Linked DNA regions of Macaca fascicularis. The protein of the gene in region 1 purifies or fractionates together with the protein of each later gene. This does not show direct contact. Links are inferred from orthologs where the notes say so. Each region holds a gene or a part of one and is shown in the gene's direction. Other genes may lie near its edges. The genes, in order: GNB1, CD81 and PFDN5.

Region 1 (3,568 bases):
TTTAGCAGAGTCTGGGAAGTTTCATGTTTTATTTATAGAGTGCAGAAGTATCACTTTTCATTTAATTATTAGTTTTTTAGGAGAGATCATCATACTTTAAAGTGTAATGTATGTTATTTTCAAGACTTAATCCAAATTGTACTGTTTTGAATAAAAAGTATTGTTGGCTGGGCATGGTGGCTTATGCCTGTAATCCCAGCACTTTGGGAGGCTCTGGCAGGCAGATCACAAGGTCAGTAGATCGAGACCATCCCGGCTAACAAAGTGAAACCCTGTCTTTACCAAAAGTACAACAAATTAGCCGGGCGCGGTGGCGGGTGCCTGTAGTCCCAGCTACTCGGGAGGCTGAGGCAGGAGAATGGCGTGAACCTGGGAGGCGGAGCTTGCAGTGAGCTGAGATGGTGCCATTGCACTCCTCCAGCCTGGGCAACAGAGCGAGACTCCGTCTCAAAAAAAAAAAAAGTATTGTCATTGGTCCCAACATATACGTAAAAGATGTTATTCAGTTTACTAAAGAATACTAAATGTGTATAAATGGTTACATTCATTACAGCAGATCTAACACACTGGGAGAGATGTGGCAGGATAGATTATAGTAATGTCCATTTCGGTTATTCCGTAAAAATATTTTGTTTTCGGCCGGGTGCGGTGGCTCACACCTGTAATTCCAGCACTTGGGAGGCTGAAGCAGGTGAATCACCTGAGGTCAGTAGTTTGAGACCAGCCTAGCCAACATGGTGAAACCTCATTCTCTACTAAAAATACAAAAAATTAGCCAGGTGTGGTGGCAGGCGCCTGTAATCCCAGCTACTCAGGGGGCTGAAGCAGGAGAATCACTTGAACCCGGGAGGCAGAAGTTGCAAGTGAGCCTAGATTGCGCCACTGCACTCAAACCTGGGCAACAAGAGCGAAACTCCATCTCAAAAGAAAAAAAAAAAGTTTTGTTTTCAAATAAGTTCATAGCCATTTGACAGGGTAATGCAGTGTTTTCCTTCTAATATGTATGGGTTTTTTTGGGTTTTTTTTTGTTTGTTTGTTTGTTTGAGACAGAGTGTTGCTCTTATCGCCCTGGCTGGAGTGCAGTGGCGTGATCTCTGCTCACTGCAGCCTCCACCTCCCTGGTTCAAGCAACTCTCCTGCTTCAGCCTCCTTGAGTAGCTGGGATTACAAGCGCCCACCACCATACCCAGCTAATTTTTGTATTTTAGCACAGATGGGGTTTCACCAATTTGAGGCCAGGCTGGTCTCAAATTCCTGACCTCAGGTGATCCACCCGCCTCAGCCTCCCAAAGTGCTAGGATTACAGGTGTGAGTCACCGCGCCCGGCCTGTTTGTTTTCTTGTGAGATGGAGTCTCGCTCTGTTGCCCAGGCTGGAATGCAGTGACATGATCTCAGCTCACTGCAACCTCTGCCTCCCAGGTTCAAGTGATTCTCCTGCCTCAGCCACCCGAATAGCTGGGACTACAGGCATGCGCCATCATGCCCGGCTAATTTTGATATATTTAGTAGAGACGGAGTTTCATCATGTTGGCTAGGCTGGTTTTGAACTCCTGACTTCAGGTGATCTGCCCAATTTAGCCTCCCAAAGTGCTGGGATTACTGGTGTGAATGACCGCACCCCACCTAATAAAGTAGTTTTGATGAGTAGGCAGCACTACTATTAAGTCCCCACCTAATCATAAGTCGTGACTTTAGTAAAACTGGATTGTGTGGATTGAATTTGAATCCCATGTGCAGCACTGGACTTCTCATTAATAGGCTTCACCTGAGTGGCCACTCATGGGAATTACTCTCTAGATAATTTTGGCTCTTATTTTGTTCTGTTACCTCCTATGCAATGAAAGTTGGAGATGAGATAATCCTAGCGTCAGTGTTGTTTTTGAACATAAAGGTGTTTGCATCATCTGTGTTTCTGTCATTAGGTCCACGCCATCCCTCTGCGCTCCTCCTGGGTCATGACCTGTGCATACGCCCCTTCTGGGAACTATGTGGCCTGCGGTGGCCTGGATAACATTTGCTCCATTTACAATCTGAAAACTCGTGAGGGGAACGTGCGCGTGAGTCGTGAGCTGGCAGGACACACAGGTACCCATCCTTGTTCATAACCTTCAAGTGACACAAGCTGTTTAGCTGGAGTACATTATATGCTTTGGATATTCACCTTTTATCAGTCATTTATTAATTATTATTATTATTTTTTTTCTTTGAGGTGGAGTCTTGCTCTTTCGCCCAGGCTAGAGTGTATTGGCATGATCTTGGCTCAGTGCAAGCTCTGCCTCCCGGGTTAACGCCATTCTCCTGCCTCAGCCTCCTGAGTAGCTGGGACTACAGGCACCTGCCACCACGCCCGTCTAATTTCTTTTTGCATTTTTAGTAGAGATGGGGTTTCACCGTGTTAGCCAGGCTGGTTTTGAACTCCTGACCTCATGATCCGCCTGCCTTAGCCTTCCAAAGTGCTGGAATTATAGGCGTCAGCCACTGCGCCCGGCGTTATCAATCATTATTAATGAGACTGGTTCAAATAAAAGTCACAGTAATGGCCAGAAGTCTTCTGAAAATGAAACTAAAAACAGGCCTGACGTGCCTTTACCAGTAAGGAACCTGTGGATTTGCGCTGGACATGGTGGCTCATGCCTGTAATTACAACATTCTGGGAGTCCAAGGTAGGAGAATAGCTTGGAGCCAGGAGTTCGAGACCAGCTGGGACAACAAAACTTAGACCCCTTCTCTACAAAAAAGGAAAAACTTAGCCACGCACAGTGGCGCACACCTGTGGTCCCAGCTCCTCGGGAGGATGGCTCAAGCCTGGGTGGTTGAGGCTGCAGGGAGCTATGATTGCACTACTGCACTCCAGGCTGGGTGAAAGTGAGACCCTGTCTCTGCAAATGAGGCAGAATAGAGCCCTGTGGCTGTAAGTGCTAGGTAGTCTATTTCACCAAGATTTTGTTTACTTGTGACACTAATTCATCATGAAAGGCATACGTTTGCTGAAAGAGGATGTCCTATTCTAATATATTTTACCTCTCTGGCTGTATTATCTGTTCTCAGAAATGTTATGGCCCCAGTACTTTTTGGTAACACTCCGCCCACTTCACATGCAGCCAAAGAAATCAGTTCATGGAGTCACTAGTACTGCTTTTGACGCCTATTAAGCAGTCTGATAAATAAGTTAATTTTGGCCAGATTACAAGTATAACCTTGTCCTTTGAAAGATATGCTGCTATTGTTGATTTCTGTTCTTGGTTCTTTCCTGCCTTCTGCTTACTTTGGAGTTGCCTTCTTCTTAATTTTCCAGCTGCCTAAAGTAGATTTGTAGGCCACTGGTTTGCTTCCTTTTCAGATACAATCACTTAAATTTTTAAATTTCCCTCTAAGCATGGCTTTAGCTGCATCACACACATATTTTTAATATTGTCTTTTTTTTTTTTTTAAGATGGAGTCCTCCTCTGTCACCCAGGCTGGAGTGCAGTGGTGTGATCTCAGCTCACTGAAACCTCCACCCCCTGGGTTCAAGCGATTCTCCTGCCTCAGCCTCCCGAGTAGATTACAGATGTGCACCACAACGCC
Region 2 (4,039 bases), on another chromosome or scaffold:
AGGCGTGAGCCACCGCGCCCGGCCGTGAATTTAAATTACAATGAAACGCAATGAAAAATTCGGTTCCTTGTGGCCACATTTCCAGTACCCAGTAGTCATTTGTGCCAGGGGTTATCCAGCTACAGAACATTCCCATCATTGCAGAAGGTTCTATCAGTTAGCACTGGATTGGACGACATTTGCTAAGACGAGCTAGCTAGAGCACGGTTCTCCGGACCTGGTTCCACATGGTTCCCAGGTAAGCTCCCGCCCACGACGCAGCCCTGTTGTCCATCAATTTTCTTGGAGAGGACATGGGAAACCTTTGTCGGTGTGTCATCTCCTGCGAAGGCCTTCACTCCTTCCTCTGGGCAGGAAGCACCCCTCACTCTGAATCATTAGCCCAAAGCAGTAAGTGCAGCGGGCCTGGCCCCACACCTACAGGAAGAGCCACAGCGTGAGGCTGGCATCCCTGGGGCACGACACAACCAGGATGTGGATGAAATAGATGCAATATCTGGAGGTTCTCTTATAGGTGGCTCTGGCCTCCTGGACACTTCACACTGGTCTGGGAGCTGCCCTCTCAGGGCCCAGTGACCTTTTCAGATGCAGACTCCTGCAGCATGGGTCAGCAATTCTTCCCTTCCATGGGACAGGGATTGGTTGCCTGTACTTGAGGCCAACACTGACTAGGGGGCCTCATGCCTGCCCCGTTCCAGCCCCGGAGAGCAATGTGAGCAAACCCTCCTGTCTCTGCAAAGCCAACCACTGTGGCATCACCTCCTTTAGGGAGCCCTCCCAGATTGTCCAAGGTGCTCACCTCCTTTGGGGAGCCCTCCCAGATTGTCCAAGGTGCTTGAGGGAGGGAGGAATAGGTTGTTCTCCCGGCACCGGGCCTGCACTCCTGGGTAGACGCTGCATGCCCGTCCTCAGGCGCGGCCCTGCTGCCACCCCCTCGGGGGCTCGGAGCGCGACAGCAGCTTAGGGACGCCTCCCGCGCCCAGCACGGTGCACCCGGGCCCTGAGGTCCTGGCCGAAACGCGCCAAGTTGGGGGTAGGTGCAGCGCCCCCATACCCCTCCGATGCGCGCCCTGGCGACGGGAGGCGGGGCCGGAGGCGGGGCGCGAGCTGGCCGGGGCGGGGCCTACGGGGGGCGGGACCGAGGCGTCCTATAAGTGGTGCTGAGCGCGGCGCGCGCCCGGCCACAGAGCGAGCGCGCAGCGGCGGAGATAGCGGCGACCCCACCGCGCATCCGGCCAGGCCTCCGGCGCCCCGCGCCCCCCGCGCCCCTGCGCCCCCGCGCCCCGTTCTTCGCACCGAGGCCCCTAGGCCCGCCAGGCCCCCTTGCCGGCTGCCCGCCAGGCCCCGCGCCGGCCCGCCCGCCTCCCAGGACCGGCCCGCGCCCCGCAGGCCGCCCGCCGCCCGCGTCGCCATGGGAGTGGAGGGGTGTACCAAGTGCATCAAGTACCTGCTCTTCGTCTTCAATTTCGTCTTCTGGGTAAGGGCTGGGCCGGGGGCCAGGGCGGGAGGGGACGGGCACACACCCCACCTCGGGCAGGTCCCGCGGCCGCGTGCTAGGCCCCGCGGGCGCAGCGCGGGCCGCGAAGTTGTGGGGCCACCTGTGGGCTCCAGGAGCGGGGTGGGGGGTCGCCCGGGGCCGCCGCGCCCCCCAACTTTGGGGCTGAGGGCTGCGAGCCGAGTTTCGGGGCCTCTGTGCGCGGGGGCCCAGCTCTGCGGCCGGGCCGGGGCTTCTGGGGGCCGCCGGGCAGTTCCCGCTAAGTGATAGTGATGGGTGCGGTGGGCGCGGGCCGGGACCCGAGTACCCGGCCGCCCCTCAGCTGAGGAGGGGCCTGCGCGGGTCCCTGGCCGCGGATTCCGGACTGCTGCTTCGCGGGGACGAAGGGGGGGCTCGCGGGCGGGACTCCTGGCGCCCCGCCCCCATGAGCTCATCAAGGGCCGCCGCCCCTGGATGGTGGGGCGGGGGCGCACACTTTGCCCGAGGTTGGGGGCGATCGCCTCACTCTCTCCCCAGCCCAGCTAACTCGCCAGTCTGCTGTCACCACCCGGGACCTTCCCGGGGGTCGCGCCTAAAAGGATGTCACCGCTGGGATGGCCCAAAAGCTGGGGTGCGCGCACCCTGGCTGTCCTGTCTGGGGGCCGATCTCCCTCTCCTCACCCAGACACGTTCCAGCCTAGGCCTCCTCCCAGAAGGGCTCTGGAGGCCTTGCAGGAGTGGGGTCCCGCGGTTCTGAGTTGGCACAAGGAAGAGAGTGGCACCAGGGGCCTGGAGTGGATGGCAGGGTCTGGGAGTGGGGCCGCTGCTTTGGAAAGAGGGGCCCCCACGCTGGGCATCTTTGGGTGCCAACGTGGGTGGAGGAGGGTCTCCTGCTGAGAATGGCTTTCTCCTGACCGCAGTCTTTGCTGCTGGGAAGTGACTGATGGGCTTTCGCCTTTTGTTTCCATTTCCTGTCAGTGTTGGAATTGGGGAGGGGGTGGAAATCCCTTCTTGGCCTGGAAGGACTGGAGTGGGTGTCCATGATGGTGACCTCCCCGCGGCCACGCCCCTGGGCAGACACCGCAAGCCCCTCCCCGTGTCCCCCCAGGCTGTCACCCCCTTCTCGTGGAAGACTCGGCTGATGTCCCAGTGGAGCGAGTGTTTCTCAAGTTGAGGCAGGGAGGGCAAACTTTTAAAATGGCCCCGGAGCCAGTGTGTGGGACCAGAGACATCTGTTTCCCATCTGGACTGTGAGGATCCCAGTGCGGATCTGGGGCAGGGAGATTGTTTGGACGGGGAAGGACAGAGGCTGAACTGAACTCTCAGCTGGGAGAGGAGTGGGGCGGTCACATCCCACCTTCCCCAAGACCGACTGTTCTGCACAGTCTGCTTGGGACACTGGTGGGAGTCACTGTAGCCTTTGGCTCTGCCCTGGCAGTGGGGGCAGCGAGGCCATCTGGGAGGGGCTTGCCCTCCCCAGGCACAGCCCTGGCACCTCGGCCGTTGCTTAGTGGTGGCCTGCTTCAGCCCAGGCATGTGGGAGAGGCACGGGACACAGGATGTCCCTCTGCCGGCCCCTGGAGCCCCATCCCCTGATGAGGAGAGTGTGGGCCTGGGGGCGGGGGCTGAAGGGGAGTCAGGGAAGGGGACTTCTCTGGAGGTGGATTTTTGCTCTCTGGACGATGCGTCACCGCTGGGTCACCGCTGGGTGAGTCCCTCCTGCCTGCCCAGGCTGAGAGGTGTCCCTGGCAGTCCCCCGGGAGTGTCGCCACGGCGGGCCTGGAAGTTTCCCAGGCAGCTGGGGTGGAGACCTGACGCATCCCAGGGATGCTTGTTATTAAGGCTCGAGGAAATGTCTCCAAGGCCTCACCACTCCTCTCCCCAGGGCCCGCTCCCCGCAAAGCATTGAGAACTGAGTCCGTTCACAGTCACTGTGGACCCACCCATCCACTGGGGCTCTGTTGTAGCCAGGAATGCCAGGCTGGGTGAGGTGAGGTTGGTGGGCACCACCCTGGTGGACCCCCCTCCACCGTGGTGTCGCAGGGTGTGTGGCTGAGAGCACAGTGCCATGGGCTTGGGCCTCCCTCAGTGGAGTCCCCACCACACTGCCCTGGTCCTGGGCCTTGGCCTCCCCCGTCTGCAGTGGGGGCCCTCAATGAGCCTGCCTCCTGGCGTTGTTGGTGGATTCACTGACATGCCTGAGTGTTGACAGGGGGCTTGGTACAGGAAGGGCTCAGGGTGTGGGGGTTGGCCAAGGGTCCAAAGGGACCCCTGCCTCAGAGAACCCAGCCCAGGCAGGCAGGATGTGCAGTGGGGAAGGGGCTGCAGGAACCCTGCAGGGCCCAGAGGGACTCAGTGCAGTCCCGTGGGCTCAGGGGAGGCTGGTGGGGAGGAGGTTGACAATGTGTGTCTGGATGGGGCGCTTGTTAAAAGTTCCATTTTAGAGAGGAAAAAGGCCTTGCCTGTGGGAGAAGGCAGCTGGGGTAGCCTGACCTCTTTCACAGAAAGGAGCCCCCCCACACACGCACAGGCACTCACACACACGAATGTGCACACACCCTCACT
Region 3 (4,346 bases), on another chromosome or scaffold:
GGCTGGCCTCAAACTCCTGGGCTCAAGTGATCTGCCCTTCTCGGCCTCCCAAAGTGCTGGGATTGCAGGAATGAGCCACCATGCCTGGCCAAAACATTTTATTGATTAATTTGTGCTCTATGTGTTGACAATGGTGCTTCCTTGCTGTTCTCCCACCAACTCACTGGCAACGGGTTATAAACCCTTTTTCAGATCCTACTAGGTGTCAGCCTACTTCCGGCTGGGGGAAGATGGTCATAGCTAGAGGGGAAGAATTAGTTCAGTGATGAGAACATGGTTGGTTCCTGCCTTCAACAAGCTTTCAATCTAATGCCTGATTTTTTTTTTTTTTTTTTTTTTTTTTGAGACGGAGTCATGCTCTGTCGCCCAGGCTGGAGTGCAGTGGCCGGATCTCAGCTCACTGCAAGCTCCGCCTCCCGGGTACACGCCATTCTCCTGCCTCAGCCTCCCAAGTAGCTGGGACTACAGGCGCCCGCCACTTCGCCCGGCTAGTTTTTTGTATTTTTTAGTAGAGACGGGGTTTCACCGTGTTAGCCAGGATGGTCTCGATCTCCTGACCTCATGATCCGCCCGTCTCGGCCTCCCAAAGTGCTGGGATTACAGGCTTGAGCCACCGCGCCCGGCCATGCCTGATTTTTTCAAGAACAATTCAGAACGGTCTGACAAGGGATTTTTTTGTTGTTGTTATTTGTTTTTTTTTCCCTGCCTTTCGGCCTCAGAGGCCATCTGGGAAAAATAGTTTAGAATTTCCCTGCCATGGCCGGGCGCGGTGGCTCAAGCCTGTAATCCCAGCACTTTGGGAGGCCGAGACGGGCGGATCACTAGGTCAGGAGATCGAGACCATCCTGGCGAACACGGTGAAACCCCGTCTCTACTAAAAAATACAAAAAACTAGCCGGGCGAGGCGGCGGGCGCCTGTAGTCCCAGCTACTCGGGAGGCTGAGGCAGGAGAATGGCGTAAACCCGGGGGGCGGAGCTTGCAGTGAGCTGAGATCCGGCCACTGCACTCCAGCCCGGGCGACAGAGCCAGACTCCGTCTCAAAAAAAAAAAAATAAAATAAAAAATAAAGAATTTCCCTGCCATTTCCCTGCTGTGCGGGGAGGAATATTTGAAATCGGACCTGGCGGGGTACCAGCAGGCAGCACAAGCAGGTGGGGTAGAGAGGGGCAGGACGAGGCCCCAGGAGCCGTCACCATAGCAACCCAGCCTGCTATCTAGTAGCTTATACCACCCACGTGGAGTAGCATACACTACTTTGTAATATCGTGGTTGTATCGTGAGAACTTTAAGATTTTGCAGTTCCCTATGGGCAGGAGTCCTGTTTGCTGCTACTTTACTGTACTAGGCTTAGAATATTTTATGAAAATAACTGACAGATCAGCCTCTGAGAAATTCAAGCCCCTCCTTCCCTTCCGGGACGGAGGATCATAGAGCTGTATGGCGCAGCGAGGCCTCCTGGCGCCATCGAGACGCGCAGAGGACGGCTAGAGCGTTGCTCGCCGAGGGACTTCCTCTTCGTTAGTCCTCCTTCCCAACATGGCGCAGTCTATTAACATCACGGAGCTGAATCTGCCGCAGCTAGAAATGCTCAAGAACCAGCTGGACCAGGTAGTGACGGGCCCCATAGGCACCTCTTTCCCGCTCTACATCCCCCTTGCCCACGCGTACTTCCTTGCGCCCGGTCCCAAGTTGGGAGCCTACCTTGCCCAGGCGAAACCTCTATCCGGTCCCAGGACCCGCCCCCTCCCCGGCCGCTCTCCCTTTTCCCCATAGCCCTCTCATTGACCCGCTATACCCGTCCTCTGTAGGAAGTGGAGTTCTTGTCCACGTCCATTGCCCAGCTCAAAGTGGTACAGACCAAGTATGTGGAAGCCAAGGACTGTCTGAACGTGCTGAACAAGAGCAACGAGGGTATGGGGTAGGGGGGTGAGGGCAACCTAAAGTGGCAAGCCTGCTTCTCTCGTCCCACCTCCTAATCCAGTTTTTCTTACCTGAAACGAGAAAATCCATTACATATCGTATACCGCTTCATGAACCCTTTGCATGTTGCCTACCTAGAATTGAAATGTACAAGACGTTCCTCTGCTTCTATTGCCCCTGTTTCCGTTCTTTTCACACTGTCTGTGGGTGCTGTGCCCTCTTGGAACTCTCTTTAACGTCTTACATTGGAGCCACTAACCTTCCCCAGGTGTTTGTCTTCATTGCTTTCACAGGGAAAGAATTACTTGTCCCACTGACGAGTTCTGTATCCTTTCCACAGGAACGGCTACCTGCTGCCTTCTCCCTTTCTCCCTCACTCCTCCAAAAAGCAGGGAGGGGGATTGTTTTGATTACTTCAGTACTTCAGATTATCCTCTCCCCACAATGATTTTGATAACACCCTTTTTTTTTTTTAAAGACGGAATCTTGCTCTGTCGCCCAGACTGGAGTGCAGTGGTGCGATCTCGGCTCACTGTAACCTCCGCCTCCTGGGTTCAAGAGATTCTTCTGCCTCAGTCTCCTGAGTAGCTGGGACCGCAGGCACGCGCCACCACGACTGGCTAATTTTTGTATTATTAGTAGAGATGGAGTTTCACCATATTGGCCAGGCTAGTCTCGAACTCCTGACCTCGTGATCTGCCTGCCTTGGCCTCCCAAAGTGCTAGGATTACAGGCGTGAGCCACTGCCCCCGACCAAGAGTACTCTTATTACACACTTTGTAGCTCTTTTATCTAACTTCACACCAACATCCAGCTAATGCCTTGTGAACACCAAGGAGTATGTATAGTTGAGATGTAATATTTCCCTTTGCTATTTGAGAACATTAATATGGAGATAAAGCTGGTGGTTTACACTTTGCTAATATCTTAGAAGATATAGGTAATAGACAAAAATAGGAGGATATAGGAACAGGGAGGTTGGCTCTGTTAATTGTGGCTCATTTCTAAACTGTCACTAAGAAACCTGGATTGTGTCCACTTGTTCAGTGTTTTACTTGAATGAACAAGTTATGGCAGTAGGGCACCTTTAATCTGTAGTCTGAGAACTGACAGGCTAAAAGGAGCACAGGAATAGTAGTGTAGTAGGGAATGGTTAAAAAAAAAATTAGGCCGGGCGCGGTGGCTCAAGCCTGTAATCCCAGCACTTTGGGAGGCCGAGATGGGCGGATCACGAGGTCAGGAGATCGAGACCATCCTGGCTAACACGGTGAAACCCCGTCTCTACTAAGAAATACAAAAAATAGCCGGGCGAGGTGGCAGCGCCTGTAGTCCCAGCTACTCGGGAGGCTGAGGCTGGAGAATGGCGTGAACCCGGGAGGCGGAGCTTGCAGTGAGCTGAGATCAGGCCACTGCACTCCAGCCTGGGCTACAGAGCGAGACTCCGTCTCAAAAAAAAAAAAAAAAAAAAAAAATTAGCCAGGCACGGTTGCTCACGCCTGTAATCCCCAGCACTTTGGGAGCCAAGGCTGGCAGATCACCTGAGGTCAGGAGTTCAAGATCAGTCTGGCCAACATGGTGAATCCCCGTCTCTACTAAATATACAAAAATTAGCCGGGCGTGGTGGCACACACTTGTGATCCCAACCACTCCGGAGGCTGAGACAGAAGAATCACTTTAACCCGGGAGGCGGAGGTTGCAGTGAGCCAATAGCGCGCCACTGCACTCCAGCCTGGGCGACAGAGCGAGACTCTGTCTCAACAAACAAAAAAAAAATGAACTTCGGTAGGAATTATCTACTTCATGATTGAGGGTGTTAAGGGAAATGAGGCTGGCTTTCCACTTGTAGTACTCTACAACAGTAGGAAAACATTATATCTAGTCTTTCTGATGGGGCTAATGAGAAGAATTGCAAGAACTGCTTAGAGGGTGAGAGATGGGATGAGGCAGAACAAAAGGGTGTTCCAGCATACATCATTTTCTCCTTAAAGAACCAACTTCTCTGTCTTCTTTCCATTTGGAGTTATTGTTCTAAGGCCTCCAGATTATTCAGTCCTTATGCCTTGAAGCTTTTTGGAAAAGGGTCTTTGGAGGCCAAGCAGACTGGCTGGCGGAATCATGGCTCATGCTGGGCTAGTTTTTGCCTTAATACTTGCTTCTCAGATGTATGTCCCTGGGAAGCTGCATGATGTGGAACATGTGCTCATCGATGTGGGAACTGGGTACTATGTAGAGAAGGTGAGTGAGAGCATGTGGATGCCCCTCTGAACAGGGAAGGGAAATTTAGGGGAAGTTCTAGAGTGCAACATGGCCAGAGGGAGTCTCCTTTTAGCCCCTCATTCACCTCTGATCTTGTAGACAGCTGAGGATGCCAAGGACTTTTTCAAGAGGAAGATAGATTTTCTAACCAAACAGATGGAGAAAATCC

The links.
Region 2: the proteins of GNB1 (region 1) and CD81 purify together in Homo sapiens (co-immunoprecipitation; 4 studies listed by BioGRID and IntAct, with this or other methods). This does not show direct contact. The link is inferred for Macaca fascicularis from reciprocal best matches to the Homo sapiens genes GNB1 and CD81.
Region 3: the proteins of GNB1 (region 1) and PFDN5 purify together in Homo sapiens (co-immunoprecipitation; 3 studies listed by BioGRID and IntAct, with this or other methods). This does not show direct contact. The link is inferred for Macaca fascicularis from reciprocal best matches to the Homo sapiens genes GNB1 and PFDN5.

Annotation. Positions count from the first base shown.
Region 1 is NC_088375.1:232,992,531-232,996,098, forward strand, and holds part of GNB1 (guanine nucleotide-binding protein G(I)/G(S)/G(T) subunit beta-1), read left to right. Parts: intron 1-1,923; coding exon 1,924-2,086; intron 2,087-3,568. UniProt on the Homo sapiens protein: Guanine nucleotide-binding proteins (G proteins) are involved as a modulator or transducer in various transmembrane signaling systems.
Region 2 is NC_088388.1:2,297,115-2,301,153, forward strand, and holds the start of CD81 (CD81 antigen), read left to right. Parts: upstream 1-1,179; 5' UTR 1,180-1,411; coding exon 1,412-1,477; intron 1,478-4,039. UniProt on the Homo sapiens protein: Structural component of specialized membrane microdomains known as tetraspanin-enriched microdomains (TERMs), which act as platforms for receptor clustering and signaling.
Region 3 is NC_088385.1:60,094,403-60,098,748, forward strand, and holds the start of PFDN5 (prefoldin subunit 5), read left to right. Parts: upstream 1-1,512; 5' UTR 1,513-1,537; coding exon 1,538-1,609; intron 1,610-1,809; coding exon 1,810-1,912; intron 1,913-2,214; coding exon 2,215-2,246; intron 2,247-4,081; coding exon 4,082-4,156; intron 4,157-4,276; coding exon 4,277-4,346. UniProt on the Homo sapiens protein: Binds specifically to cytosolic chaperonin (c-CPN) and transfers target proteins to it. Binds to nascent polypeptide chain and promotes folding in an environment in which there are many competing pathways for nonnative proteins.